Linked DNA regions of Elephas maximus indicus. The protein of the gene in region 1 interacts with the protein of each later gene in a pairwise test. Links are inferred from orthologs where the notes say so. Each region holds a gene or a part of one and is shown on either strand. Other genes may lie near its edges. The genes, in order: RABL6 and SPINK7.

The links.
Region 2: the proteins of RABL6 (region 1) and SPINK7 interact in binary tests that used the Homo sapiens proteins (3 or more experiments, as listed by UniProt). The link is inferred for Elephas maximus indicus from reciprocal best matches to the Homo sapiens genes RABL6 and SPINK7.

The regions. Positions count from the first base shown.
Region 1 is NC_064827.1:1,610,940-1,618,194, reverse strand, and holds the start of RABL6 (rab-like protein 6), read left to right. Parts: upstream 1-4,193; 5' UTR 4,194-4,400; coding exon 4,401-4,530; intron 4,531-7,255. Other genes in the region: CCDC183 (coiled-coil domain-containing protein 183), read left to right, coding at 352-477, 590-644, 1,638-1,738, 2,416-2,576, 2,883-3,051, 3,135-3,245, 3,326-3,422, 3,662-3,780. UniProt on the Homo sapiens protein: May enhance cellular proliferation. May reduce growth inhibitory activity of CDKN2A.
Region 2 is NC_064820.1:163,062,679-163,070,946, forward strand, and holds the start of SPINK7 (serine protease inhibitor Kazal-type 7), read left to right. Parts: upstream 1-5,167; coding exon 5,168-5,228; intron 5,229-6,074; coding exon 6,075-6,100; intron 6,101-6,995; coding exon 6,996-7,120; intron 7,121-8,268. UniProt on the Homo sapiens protein: Probable serine protease inhibitor.

The DNA.
Region 1 (7,255 bases):
CCTGCGTGTGTCTGTTCTGCTGTTTTTATAGGACACCACTCAGAAGCGATTAGGTTTAGGACCCACCTTATTCCAGTATGACTTAATTAACATAAAAAAAGAAAACCCCTATTTTTAAGCAGTGTCATATTCACAGGTACAGGGTTAGGACTTCAACACATAGTTGGGAAGAGGGGGACACAATTCAATCTGTAGCAGCCAGTGTTTCATGAAGTGTATGAGCGTTTTAGGAAGAAACAGTTGGCTGACAGTGAAGATGAGGTCTGACAGCTGGCTGCTGGACTTTGTGCCCTGGGAGTCCACTGGTCACCTTGGTGGGACAGACCACCCCACACTTCCCTCTGTCCCCAGATGAACATGAGCCAAGCAGAGGCATCCTTCATCGAAGAGCGGAGGGCACGGGAGAACCGGCTCAACCAGCAGAAGAAGCTGATTGACAAGATCCACACCAAAGAGACCAGTGAGAAATACCGGCGGGTGAGGCCCAGCCCCTCACCCCATGCAGCCAGGGAGTGAGCAGACTCAGCTCAGGGCACCCCTGGGTCCACTCCCCTGTGGGGACTGCTGCTCACCCTCCTTTCCCCTGCAGGGCCGGCGGGACCTGGATTTCCCCTCCAACTTGATGAGCACAGAGGGCCTGAAAGGTGAGTACTTGGCTCTGCCCATCCCACGAGCATCTGGAGAGGTCACCCAGCCACATCCCCCAGAAGGCCAGGTGTAAGCCATGGTCACCAGCAAGGGAGACAGATAAGCCCCTGCTTCTCCCTGGCTGCACCCAAAGAGGCCAGAGCCAAATGGCCACACACACACTGGGATGCGACTGCTCCCAGGCTCTGGGCCACATGTGGCTGAGCTTCAGGCATATGTAGATACTGTCCACCAGCTCCCCAGGGCCCGGTCACCCAGTGAGTCCTCAGAAAGGATGAGTTCCTTGGGCCCCGGGCCTGTCTCCAAGCAAGAAGCACCAAGCTGACCTGGGGCATTCCTGAAGGACTGGACCGAGGACAGGTGTCTTAGCCAAGGTTCTCTAGAGAGACAGAATCAGTGAGATGGATGAATAGGCAGACAGACAGATAGATACATAGACAAAGACTGATTGATTTTAAGGAACTGGCTCACACGATTATGATTGTGGGAATTCTGGCAAGTCCAAAATCCGTAAGACCAGGCAACAGGCTGGAGACTTCTGCAGGCTTGTGTCACAAACCCATGGGTCAAGTGACAGAAAGAGTGAACAGAGAAATTCTACCAAAGTATCTATTTACAGTCTGGAGGCAGAACACACCCTGAGGAAACTCCCTTTTTGCTCTAAAGGCTTCAGCTGACTGGATGAGGCCCACCCACATTGTAGAGGGTCATCTGCTTTACTTGAGCCCAGATGATTAAATCACACATAACTGCTACAGAACAGCCACTAGACTAGCGTTTGCCCAAACAACTGTGCACCAGAGTCCAACCACGCGGACACATAAAACTCACCATCACAAGGAGGGCAGGTCACCTGGCTCCTAGGTTCCAGGACCTTGGGGTGTCCTCCCTGGAAACCCAAGCACGTATGGAAGCTTCTGGGGGCCTGGCGCCTGTGCCCTTGCAACATCCCTGCACACCAGCTGCCCATTGCACTCTGCTCTGCCCAGTGAAGCGAAAGGAGACCTCCAAAGCTGACATTGAATACCAAGCGGATGTGACCACGATGGTGGAGCGTGTGAAGAGTGCCGTGCGCTGCTCCCACCTCTGGGTAAGGCCCTGGCTCTCCCTGGGTGGGGTGAAGGGCCAGTGAGGTCTGGCCCAGCCCCAGGCCCCGGCCGATTGGGTCTGCAGGTCCTCTGAAATGGGCACAGAAAGCTGCACCCTCTGGGCCTCTCTGGCATGCAGGAAACGGCCAGTGGGGCAGCTCAGCATAGAGGCTACCCCGGGACATGTTTGGGGCACCTGAGCACCATTCCAGGGCCATGCAGAGCTTGCTCAGTGGAGGCTCCAAGCACCGAGGGCCCAGCCTTTCTCTCCCACTCTGGCCTTGTCCCAAACTGCTGGAATCACAGGAGCAGCTGCCTCTCCATCCCTCCCCGCCCCTCTTATTTTTGTCGAGTCTGGGTTATCACCCTTACACCCTGAGTTTCCATTGCCGGCCCTGACGTGAGCTTGTCCATGCTCGGACAAGCGACCCAAAGCACCTGGATGTCTCAACGTAGTCTCCTCATCTGCGAGAGGCCATCTGCCCTCTCTGAGGTGTTAGGAGCCTCTCGTGCAGTGGCACATGGGAGGCACCCTGCCAGGGGCTGACCCCAGCAAGCCCTGGGTGCGCGGCAATGGGTGACACCGTGACCCAGCCTGGAGCACAGAGGCAGCCCTGGCACTGGAGAGGGCCATGCCTCCTCAGCTCATTCCTGCTTCTCTCCCCGCTGGACTGGCCAGGACATCGCTGGCCGGTTCCTGGCACAGAGGAACACGGAGGAGAACCTGGAGCTGCAGATGGAGGACTGTGAGGAGAGGCGGAAGCAGCTGGAAGCCTTGATGAAGAAGCTGGAGCTGGAGCAGGCGATGCTCAAGTTCCGCCAGATGCCGGGCTCTGTCAGGTACCCCAGGGAGGTGTCCCGAGGGTGAGGGCTGACTGCTAGCACCCGTGGACAGCCCCTGTGGCCAGGGACCAGATGCCGGGCTCCGTCACGTACCCCAGGGAGGTGTCCCGGGGGTGAGGCTCGCCTGCTAGCACCCGCGGACAGCCCCTGTGGCCAGGGACCAGGCTTGCTCCTTGCGAGCCTGTGAGCACCCTGTGAGGGAAGCCCAGCCAGGGACCTGCACTGGCCTACACTGGGGCTCCTGAGCCCCTAAATGTAGCACGGCATTCACCCTCAGCTCCTGCACCCCCACCGTCCTCACAGCTTTGCGTCCCTTGAGAATAAGATGAAGGACATGCTCAAAGAGGAGGAAGATCGGCTCCAGCTGGCCCTCAGCAACGTTAGCAAGAGCCAGAAGCTCCTGCTGACCATCCAGACGGGCGTCGACAACCTCTACATTCGGCTCATCGGCATCGCCACGCCACCTGGCCAGGTGCCTGCCTGGGGAGGAGCCACCCCCACCGAGAGGGTCGTGGAGTGGGCCCGGCGGGCATCAGACCCTCCTCTTGCCCACAGAAAGAAGCTGTGGTCTCCAACCCCCTAGATGTGTACAGCAAGCTGGCGTATTGTGAGAGGAAGCTCATGTACCTGGTGGACAGAGTGCAGATGCTGACCAAGACTGAGGAGGTAGCCTGTCTGGGAGGTGAGCCTCGAGCCCACCGCCCGCTGTGGACCTACAAAGCTGAGGGAGTTCTGCATGCCTGCAGGTTGGCACGAAGGTGAGGGACATCCTGGAGTCCTCCACGCTGAAGGAGAAGCAGAACACCAAGATCAGCTTTGAGGACCTGGAGGAGGATGTGATAGGTATGGGCCGGCCAGAGCGAGGCCAGGGTGGGGGGCTCGCGGCCGGGGGCGGGTTTGGCTGCCTGCAGTCTGGACGGAGCGTGGACCAGGCTGGAGCGGGACGAGACCCCGGGTCACAGCGGCACAGGCTTTGGTGGTGGCCTCGCCCTGTCCCGCGGGGCAGCGGTGGTGGGAGGGGGCGCCAGGGCCCGGGAGGGGCTTCGGGGTGCCGGCTTCCCGCGCTGCCCCTTCCCTCCTAGAAACCTTCCAGTTCGCCGACGTGGACCACAGCTACGTCCCTTCGCGGGCCGAGATCAAGAGGCAGGGCCAGCGGCTGATAGAAGGGAAGCTCAAGATGGCCAAGAAAAAGAAGAAGTAGCCCCTTCCCCTCTCCCGCGCCCTCCACCCCTTCGCCTGCGTTTTATTATCCAAATAAACGTTTTTCCAGGACGGACGGGGGTCGATGGGTGAGACGAGACTCTCAGAGAAAATAAGAATTGGGGAGACACAGGTCTTGGGGTCACGCTGGGAAGTTCTACGGGGAGCTGTGTGTCTGGGCCAGGGCTGGGGGCGAGGGCGAAGTGGGTGGTGTCGGGGCTGAGACGCGGACGGGGGTGTCCGGGGCGGCTGGAAACTCGGGGGGCAAACGGCCTGCAGGGGTGCGGCGGCGCCCCCCAGCCCCCCCGCCCCCCCACGGCCCCCTGCACCCGGGGCGCATGCGCGCTTCGTCCCGCGCGTGGCCCTCGCGGCGCCCCGTAGCCACCGCCTCCCTGCGGCCCCCGCGCCAGCGCCAAGATGGCGGCGCCGACGAGCGGGGAGCGGCCTCGCCGGAGGCCGCGGGGCCCGGAGCCGAGCCGCCGCGCCTGAGGCCGCCCTCGGCCGCCGGGAGCCCAGCCCAGCCCAGCCGGCCGCCGGGCCATGGTGCGCGCCGCCCCACGCCGCCGCCGCCGCTGCTGAGCTCGCCGGCAGCGCCCGGGCTCGGGCGTCCGAGCGGGGAGGATGTTCTCCGCCCTGAAGAAGCTGGTGGGGTCGGAGCAGGCTCCGAGCCGGGACAAGAACATCCCCGCCGGGCTGCAGTCCATGAACCAGGCGCTGCAGAGGCGCTTCGCCAAGGGGGTGCAGTACAACAGTGAGTGCGGGGCAGGGCCGGGGCGCCCGCGCCCGCGGCCCCCGAGACGAGCTGTAGAGACCCGAGCCGGGCGTGCGGGGAGAGCGGGGGCTGTGCAGACCCGGAGCCCGTTGAGCCTCCGGTGGCCCTCGTTCAGACCCGGCCGGTCCGTAGACGCTGGTCCGCGGGGCGCCCCACGAGCGCTGGAGAGTTAGTATGAAAAAGAAAAAAAGAAAGATGTCGTTTGAGGGGGCGTAGGGGTCGCGCTGTGCCCCGGGAAGCCAGCAGGACCAGCAGGCGCGGTGCCTTCTAACTCTGCCGAACCTGGAAGGGCTGGCCCTGCCCTGGTCGCCGCCCCGGCGCCAGAAAGTGTAGGAAACGCTGGTTCTCGGTCTGCGGCGAGAGGTAACCGCGCCTCCTCGCCTCGGGAGGTTTTGGCAGACTTTGTTTTTGAGATTCGCTGAGCCCTTACCCTGGTCGCTGTGAGTCGGAATCGACTCGACGGCACCGGGTTCGGTGCCCTGTGCCAGGGCTCTGCAGGCAGGAACCCTCAGGGACGAGAAGGGATGCCCCGCCGGGGTCCTCGAGGACCCGACGAGCCTGGAGGGGCTGCCCCTCGTCTCCTGGCGCTCTCCTCTGCACGGTGACTGCTTCCTGAGCAATGCTCACACGGTAGGAAACCCGTTTGTTTAGTTTTAAACAGTGAAATTCGTGGAAGGAGATCTCAGGAAGTGCTGGAGCTCCCTGCTGGCCTGCGGTTCTCCGATCTTGCCTTGTCTGAGAAGGGATCGTTACGTAACGGCAGAGGGGAGCTGTTTCGGCTCTGACGGAAGGGGTGCTGGGGTTCTGAGCCGGTGAACTGTGTCACCACCTGGAAGAGGTGCCCTAAAACCCAGGCGGCTGAGGTCGTCTGAGCTAAGGGGTTTCTCTTTGTTGACGTGGCATTGAGTCTGAAGACAGATAACAGCTTTGCCACAGTTCTTGCCTTCTTGGAGCAGCATTTGTAAGGGATATATTTAGAAAAGCCCCAGAAGGCATGAGATTCTTGCTTGTTATCGTGGGAGACATCTCTTCCGGCCGGGAAGGAGGAGTTACTCACAGACGCCCAGAGAGCCAGGCTGTTCCCATCCAGATGGTATAAATTATGTAAATCCCAGCTCCCAGACACTGACCGTGCTCTTGACCTCTTTTGAGTTTTCTGTCTCCCTTGCTCTTTCCTAGCAGTATTTAAAGGCTTTATGCTGCCCTCTGCTTTGAAATTGTTTCCCTGGTGCTGCTGAGAGATTTTGGACTCTTTCCCCTGCTTTGTGCACTTGAACGGGGCCCTCAGAAATGGGTCAGGAAGCCTTGTGTGCGTGTCAGACAGCTTGTCTCTGCCGTGCTGTGCTTGGAGTTCTGAACACGTTTCTTACACGTTCAGAGAAGAGACTATTAAGTTAAAATGCTCAATTACACAAATCTTTACAATCTATGCTTGGATTCCTTATTTTATTTAATGTTATCACTTTTAATAATATCTGAGTGGTGCAGACGGCTAAGCACTTAGCTACTAACCCAAAGGTTGTCCACTCAAACCCGCCCAGAGGCAACTCAGAAGACGCCTAGCAATCTGCTTCCAAAAGGCCACAGCCTTGAAAACCCTGTGGAGCAGTTCTACTCTCTGCACACATGGAGTCGCCCTGAGTCAGAGTCAGCTTGACAGCGACTGTCAACAACTTTTAATGTTGTTTAAAACTTAATTACAGTCTCTTGGAAGTTAGACCTGGAGACCGTTCACCTCATCCCAGTTGGGCTGGGACTGAAAGGGCAGCGGAGTTGTCCCAGAGTAGAGGACCACATCTGGAGTGCTTAGAGCAGGTCATGACCTCCCAGAAGCCAGCGAAGGGTGCTGAGATGGAGAGAAACCTAGATTTGGCACCTATGTTACATCTTAGAGGGATGTTGTCCCAAGAGTTGAATAATAAGCAGTTTTGAAACTTTTTGATTTCCTGTATTAGTCTGTAGACAAGAAAGTTCCTAGCATTTGTTTTCCCAAATATCTTACTTAGAGGAACAAACCCGCAATATACCAAGTATAGATTCAGGAATTTTATAGCTAAGAGTTGTATTAACTGTTACTCTGGGGGTGGGGGTGTAACTCGTTTTCCTGTAGATTGGCTGTGTTAACAGGAGCAACTCCTGTCACAAACGCAGAGTCCAAGCACACCTGTTACATTTAGAATAAAAAATGTGGCGAGTGGGCCTGTCCCTCCCTGCTGTGCCCGGACGTGGCTTCCCAGGTGGGGACGTTTTAGCCAGAACAGCCTGTTGCAGGAGGGAATGCCTCGCTCACGGACTGCTCAGTAGACTCGCTCAGGACCAGGGTGCTCGCGGACTGCTCAGTAGACTCACTCAGGACCAGGGTGTGGCCACAGAAAGCTCCTCCAGACATGGGACAACAGGGTCCTTTCTGGTTAGAGAGCAGTGTTACGGTTTTAAACCGGGAACTTTTGAACGGCCAATGTCAGTGTGAAACAGCCTTCCCTGTAGGAAACAAGCAGCTGTGTCCAGCCAGTGACTCAACCTGCCCCGGCTGGCCCGCTGGCAAATCCCCAAGCCTTCACTGCCTGGACGTGCCACATCTTTGTGAGTTTTCCTTCTTTTGCGTTTGTTCGCTCTGCACATACTTACTGAGTGCTCATCATTGAAAAACCAAACAAAAGTCTCTGCCCCTGTGGTGCTTACATCCTGGTGATGGGGCGTAGAC
Region 2 (8,268 bases), on another chromosome or scaffold:
TACCACAGCTTCCACCAGACTGAGTCCAGCACAACTAGATGGTGCCCAGCTACCACCAACAACTGTTTTGACAGGGATCACAATACAGGGTCCCCATAGAGCTGGAGAAAAACGTAGAGCAAAATTCTAACTCACACACACACAATAAAAAAGACCAGACTTACTGGTCTGACCAAGCTGGAGAAACCCTGAGAGTATGGCCCCCAGACAGATATCCTTTTAACTCAGTACTGAAGTCACTTCTGAGGGTTACTCTTTAGCCAAAGATCAGACAGGTCCATAAAACAAATAATAATACATATAGCACAACCATGTACAAGAGACTAAATGGGCACACTAGCCTAGGGGCAAGGACGAGAAGGCAGGAGATGACAGGAAAGCTAGAAGAATGGAAATGGGGAACCCAAGATCAAGAAAGGGAGGGTGTTGACACATCGTGGGATTGGCAACCAATGTCACAAAACAATATGTGTATTAATTGCCTAATTAGAAACTAATTTGCTCTGTAGGCCTTCATCTAAAGCACAATTTAAAAAAAAAAAAAAAAAAGGAGAAGAAGAAAAGCTAAAAGAAAAACTCAGGAACCAGATTTAGAGAAACAAAAAGTCCTCTCCATGTAAACAGCTGCCATAAAACAAAGCAACCCCACACTCATCCCCTGACCTCACTTGCCACACTTTTGAATCTAGTGACCTTTATCTCCACCCTTCCTTTACCTACTTTATCTTTGGCTACGCCTAACAATTATCATCACTGTACCACCCCACCTCTGAGAAATAAAATCTGCCACTTTGCCTCCCAGCACAGCCTCCCTAAATGATAGTTCATATTTCCCACGTGTTGCCTGAACTTTGACTTCTAAACCCTTAACTGTTCGCACCTTAAGCAGTCCACCAGATCCTTCTGGAGCACTTGAATCTCTTCCCAGCTTTGCCATCTCCTGACTCAGTCTTTCAGCCCCCCTCAAGTCTGTGACGTACAATGTCCACAAAATTACTTTTCCCCATCCCTCACTCGGTGTCACAACCTATTATGATGCAGAATAGTACTGCTTAAAACCAAAACCAAAACCACTACCGTTGAGTCGATTCCTGCTCATAGCAACCCTGTAGGACTGAGTTGAACTGCCCCATAAAGGTTTCAAGGCTGTAATCGTTATGGGAGCAGACTGCCACATCTGTCTCCCGAGGAGTGGCTGATAGCTTCGAACTGCTGACCTTTTGGTTAACAGCCAAGCACTTTAAGCACTGTGCCGCCAGAGCTCCTAGTAGTGATGGGGCCTGTTAAAATCTAATGGTGATTTTGTCTATTGGTCGTTACTCTTTATATTCGTTGTTGACTGTTTTACATACTCCCATCAATGTCTGTGCCAAACCTCCGTCCTTCTCAAACTTCCAGATCAACACAATTTTTCCACTTCAAAAAGGAACTTAACAAATGGAGCCTACCTTGCAATGGGTTCCTCCCTCATCTCTCCTTCCCTGACTTTCCAAAATACCCCATCTCTACACTCATCTACACTTCTCTGTCTACTCTGTCAGAGGGAATGTTGTTTTGCCTGTGCTCTTAATCTTATTTACTATGTTTCTAGACCCATTGCCATTGAGTCTCTTCTGATTTATCACAACCCCATATGCAACAGAATGGAACTGCTCACAAGGTTTTCTCTTTTTTTGCTGTAACCTTTATGGAAGCAGATTGCCAGGGCTTTCTTTCATAGCACCACTGGTATGTTCGAATCTCCAAGCTTTAGGTTAGTAGTCGAATTCAAACCACTTGCATCACCCAGGGACCTCTACTACCTTTCTGTACTCCTCTGATTAGCCACCCTCTACCATATATCTTAAATTTCTTCTTCTACCTCTCAGCTTTTAGATATGCACAGTCTACCCTAGACTTTGCTGTAGCCTCAAGCTTCTCTCATTCCCTTCCTCTTTGGCTACAAACATTAAAAAAAAGTGACCCTATCCTCCCAATTCAACCTGATCATCCTTGATCTCTTTCCCATTCTTTTCCTTTTTTAAAATTACATTTTCAAAGTGCAAGAAAGACACCTCTTTCTGAAACATAATGTCTTTTCCACAGTAAAACTTACGAGTACCTCTTTTTATTAGGATATTCATTTCCCTTCTTTTCCATAACTGAACTCAACAGCCTGTCCTCCATTAGTTGGTGTCATGATCTTTGAAAAGCTCTTTAAATTTTCTAAGCCTCAACTTACTCATTGGTAAAAACAAGGTAATAAAAATTCCGTCTTCAATGAGTTCTCAAGAGGAGCACATTCCAAATTATTATCTACCATATACAAGGGTGGCATATATATACGTACAGACACATATGCATACCATCATTTTTGCAAATAATGCGCCCACGTAAATAACACACCCACACATATAACTCGTGGAAATGATGAAATTAAATAAAATGGTTCTGGCATAGCTCACCTATGCATGTACAATGCATGTCTCATGACATTTCCATAAATGAATTTTGACCTTATTTACCTGTCCTCCCATATTAGAAGTAAATCTTATTAATATGTTCATTTTCTTTCATTCTGTTTATTTTCTTTAATCTCCTGCTTGTATGTATAAAAATAGTCTGAAAATGTTACTTTTGATCATAATTGTGTAATAAAGATACAAGCCATGGTCAAGAAGTAATGGATCAAGTTTGGTAGTCCCCCAGTAACTGGAAAATAAATAATCAGAACTGTGCAATTGTTCCTATTAATTTAAGTTGATAATTGTAGTGCGTTATCTCAACAGTTGAAAAACCCAGAATCTACCGGTAAATAATTTTGGCTTAAATTGCAAGTAAGATAAAGTCAATACCTATCTTAAGTGACATTTCCATGTGATCAAAAATAGAAATTGAAGTCAGCAACATGTTTTTAAAGAAAAAAGAAAATTAGCCCAGAGTTCTTACAAAATAATGTACGGGTAGTTGTGTAGTTCAGCAAAAAAAAAAAAAAGTGTAAAGTGCAAGTTATTTTTGAAAACATATGGATATATATATCTCTATGTATCTATATGGAGCCCTGGGGGCACAGTGATTAATAGCCATGGTTCTAACCAAACAGTGGGCAGTTCAAATCCACCAGCTGCTCCTTGGAAACCCTACGGGGCAGTTCTACTTTGTCCTATAGACTCACTATGAGTCAGAATCGACTTGACAGCAACAGGTTTGGCGTTTGGTTTTCTATATCTATATATAGATATATACATAAACGCTGCTCATAAGAAATTATATACGTATGTATATATGTACATTATATACATAGAAATACATTATATATTATAAATACACACATATATTTACACCTATATGTATATATAAAATCTCTTTTAATACTCAAAAATCATCCTGTGAGGTAAATATTATTTCCATTTTAGAGATGATGTAACTGAGATATCCAGAGGTTAGTCTACATACTCAAAGTCACACCATCAATATTCATTAGCAGCAAGATTTCAAATTAGATCCATTGGATTCCAAGTGCCCATGTCCTTAACCACTAGATTACATTATCTCCCAAAGAGATGTAAGAGTGAAAGTTTTAGGGAATTATACATTTTTATTTATTATTAGCTTAATATCCTATGTGGATGCTGTGTTTCACAATGTACTAAAATAAACCTGCGGTGCATTGGATTGATGGAACAGAACTCACTGTCTTCCCCAGGTTTTCATGCATATGTTCTTTAGCTTAACAGGTAAGCGGCAGAAATTTGGACAACTGTGCTCGCGTTGACACTACGGTTCATAATCTAATGTTGAGCAATCTATTGGCTCAACAATAATGATATCACAATAATATACATTTCATGCACTGTGCTTCAGAATAGGCTTTCACATAAATGACTGCAATTAAGTGACCTCAACTGTAGCTAAAAAAGGAGCCCTGGTGCCACAATAGTTAAGCACTCAGCTGCCAACCGAAAGGTTGGTGGTTCAAACCAACTCAATGGCTCATGAGGACAAAGACCTGGTGATCTGCTCCTGTAGAGATTACAGCCTAGAGAACCCTGTGAGGCAGTCCTACTCTGTCACATAGAGTTGCTGTGAGGCAAAAATCGACTCAACGGCATGCAACAACGACCTTGTGATTAATGCTAGGCCCCACTCTACAGGTGATGACATCACGGCTCTGAGGTGGTCTCTGTGCTGTTTGCCAGTTACACCCAGTTCTCCCTTTTCTGGCCTCAGAGGACAAGGTAAGATCTCATGTAATCACTTCCATTGGGTGAGGTCACATGATGGTTCTGGCCTGTGAGTTATGAGAAAGGACAGTGGTATCACTTCTGGGCTGAAACATTTAATTGCTGAAAAGAAAACCCTGAAGCACGCATTTTCACTTCACCTCGACAACTGACAATATGTCAAACGGTGACTATCTACTTGAGATCCAGAATGAAGACAATGCAGCACCTTCAAATGACCACCATACGTGTGTACCTTGAGTAAGGAATAGACAAGCTTACATTGTTTTAAGTCACAGGAATCTTTAGGTTATATGTTACCACAGCATAACCAAGGTTGCCTGATTGATACAGGCTCGCAGCATATAAATGACTTATCCAAGATTACATAGCTAGAAAATAACATGGCAATGCCCTTCTCCAAGCCTCATAAGTGCTAAGGTCACTGTTCCCTCTGTTAGGCCCCAGGTTGCTGCACAAGTTCATTGCCTCAAAAGTAAAATAATATTTTTTCAGCAGCTAAAATATAAACCTAGGTGTAATCTGTCTAATTTGGGTTTAATATCCTAAATATTGGTGTAATAAAGGAAATTTTAAATCTTTACTTATTTCACAACTAGGCCAAGTAGCCCATACTTAATCTATTCTTCTATGTGAAGTTTAGAATTCTAAGTAGTCACCCTCACCTGGGGGGCAGGAAGAAAAATGCTTCTCACTCACCACAAATAATCAAATTGGTCAGATGGGAAGTAGCAATTAAGTGCAAGGACTGTAACAACACTTCCCAGGGTGTGACATTGTGCATTGATTGAAATTCTTTCAGGGCCAACGCTGACTCTGGATGACCTCACAGGAAAGGTGGAGAATCCAAGTCTTAGCATATAAGCATGGCCTCTCTCCTAGGACCTGGCTGGTGCAGCTCTGGTGATAGCCTGAGCAGCCTCTGCACCACGGTCGTCTCCACCATGAAGATCATTGGGGGTGTCCTTCTGCTCTGTACGGTGGCCCATTTCTGCAACAGTGCAGGTGAGTCAAGAATGTCTGGAAAAGCACATTTTAGCTTATTTTCCCAAATATTTCCTCATGAGATGTGAGCATCTGTGTGGTTATATGGATTAAAATGTACTGTTCTGTAATAGAAAGTTCCCTGGCCTGGGAAGGAAGAATCTTTGGCCTCAGCTGGAATTTGGGCAACTTGGAGTGAATATCTTCCCCTTTAATTTCTGATTTCGATTCATGGAAAAAAGCTTAACTATATAATTTCTCTTTAATTCTACCACTGCTTAATGACTCTGGAAGTGGATGGTGTTATTAGATACTATTCTTAAGTGCAAAGATGCAGAAAAACTTGGATGTCTCCCCAAGTCAGTCTAGGAGAATCAAAATAAAACACAATTTTCCAAAGGCCAGGAGTCAACAATTACGCTTTTAGATGGCAAAGAAATTACTTGGTTAAAATGAGACCTTAAAGGTATTTAATTACATTCCTGTATCTCAGTTAGGACAGGGAAAATATCAAAGATGGTGTTTCAGACTCTTAGGAGTGGTGACTACAATACTGCTTATTGCTACTTGAGTCTGAGACATTATCAAAGACACAAGAAGCTCCAGAAGATGTTCCTTAGTCAATAAAGGAAGAAAATTGGGGCAGTTCACTTGCCTGAGTCAAGGGCTTACGTGACTCTACGGCCCATTGGTCATTTGGTTTCCTCAGCCAACAGCTGGGATTTTGTATAAGGACGGGAAATGTGCTGACCCTCAGTGCCTCAGAAAATGAAGACTCTTAAGTGTATAGAACCAAACTTACATCAGTTAAGGAGATTTCAAAGCTTTGCTTTATTTTTATAATTTCCATGTACATTTCCCTTTCAGAAACTGGCACTCCATCTACAAAAACGGTGAGTACGTTGGATAACATTTTAATTTTAATTCCTATTGCCTGTTGGAAACCCTAGCGGAGTAGTGGTTAAGAGCTACAGCTGCTAACCGTAAAGGTCGGCAGTTTGAATCCGCCAGGCCCTCCTTGGAAACCCTATGGGGCAGTTCTACTCTGTCCTACAGGGTCGCTATGAGTTGGAATCAACCTGAAGGCGAAGGGTTTTTTTGTTGTTTTTTTTTTTTTAAATTGACTTCCATTTATCCAACAAATACTTATAAATGGTATATGTAAGATTAACTCAGTGTGTTGTAAGGGATAATAAGGAAGCCTGACACATGAAAAAATGGCCTCTGCTCTCCAGAAGGCTGTTTAAAAAGCATGGCATACATATAAATATCCATATCCTAAGTAATTATTCAAGTGTTAAAGGAAAGAGAGATGACTTCAAGCTGAGAGGTTGGTGAAGTCCTCACGAAAGAGACAACATCTGAGAGCAGAGCAGAGTTACCCTGGTTAATTGCACAGGCTCTGGATTCAAATCTCAACTCTACTACTTACCAGCATTTGCCTAATACAAGTTATCTGTCTTTCTAAGCCTAAAATTCCCCATTTTTAGATAGGAATAGTAGTAGAGCCTAATCTATTCAGTGGTTGTGAAGATTAAAAACCAACATATCCATGGCAGAGAAAACTCTGACAGAAAGATGCTCGTCGATTGCTAAGTGACTATAGTAGCAGTTCTAGCATCTGTCATAGTGGTAACAGCAGTGCTAATAGAGGTAGTAGCAGTAGCATCAGAAATACCTGAGCTGGGACTTTTAGTATGGCATTCTTGCTGCCTGTGCAGTAGAGGCCAGGATAGCCTAACTTGGGGGCTGGGAGAACAGTAGGACCTTTTCTTGTTTCTGTCACAGGTGGACTGCAGCATTTATAAGAAGTACCCAGTGGTGGCCATCCCCTGCCCCATCACATACTTGCCTGTTTGTGGCTCTGATTACATCACCTATGGGAATGAATGCCACCTGTGTACCGAGAGCTTGTGAGTACCTCACATGAAGGCAAAGGAAACTGGCTCCAGTGTTCTCCCCTGAGAACCTTCCCCTTTCCTGGAGTCTTCTTAACTTTCCATTAACTGTACTCATTCCCACCCAGAAGCAGCTGGTGGGGATAGACAACTGAATGCCTCACAGTCAGATCAGAGTTGGATCCAAATTGCTCTGCCAGCATGGATGGGTCCCATCCCATCATAGAACCTCCAATTGCCATCTATCAATTGAAGGAAACCAACTAATCCAGGGCTTATTGTTCAAACTGCTGTCCCTGGAGCCCAGATGTTCTGTAATGGCATATCAGGAGTCACCAAATGGGCCCAGGGAGACCACATGGGATGATCTCCAGCCCCAGCTTCAGCTTTGGATTATTTTAAATAGTGGAGCACCACACAATATTTTCTTTGAAGAAGGGTCCTAAGCCCTGCCTCCCCCACAAAAAAAAAATCAAAGCCACTCTCCTACATGACTTCTAGCATACTTCAATATAGCTTGATTCTTAGGCGAACGGTGGCTGCCAGTCATTTATTCTCAGTTTCTTGGAGATTCTAAGCATCTATACCTCTAAGAGGGATGAGACTAGCACAAAGATATATATTTTTTCTTGCTTTTAAAATAGAGGGTGCAAACTATCAGTACTTGGACCAGAACCCCATGGACATGTTTGTTTTTTAGGTATTTGTTTGGCCTCCTCAGTGTTTTTGAAGGCAATGTAACTAGGCAGATACCACTGCTAGTTTAAGGGCCTGCAACATTGTACTTATTGTCTTATACCAAGTCAACTTCACTCATCGTTAACTCTCTGATCATTTCAGGTCATTAAATTTTGGCCACTTGTTTTTGTTTTCTATCTTTGTGATTATCTGAACAATTTAAAATATCAGGTTAGGCTCTGATCCCAGAAGGAAATGGCTACACATTTGTTCCTTGTTCAAGGAGTTTTATTTCACAGTCACAGGCTGGTCCCCTGGCCTAGAAACTAACTTGTATTCAAAGGACACTAAACGTGAGATGTGGTAGACGTCCTCCTTAGTAACCCAGAATCCCCTGCATCCCAGGCCCTGCTAACCAGGAGCTAAGGGGCTGGCCACCTCAACTTTCCTTGTCAGAGGCCTTCATGCTTTGTGCCTTTAAGAAA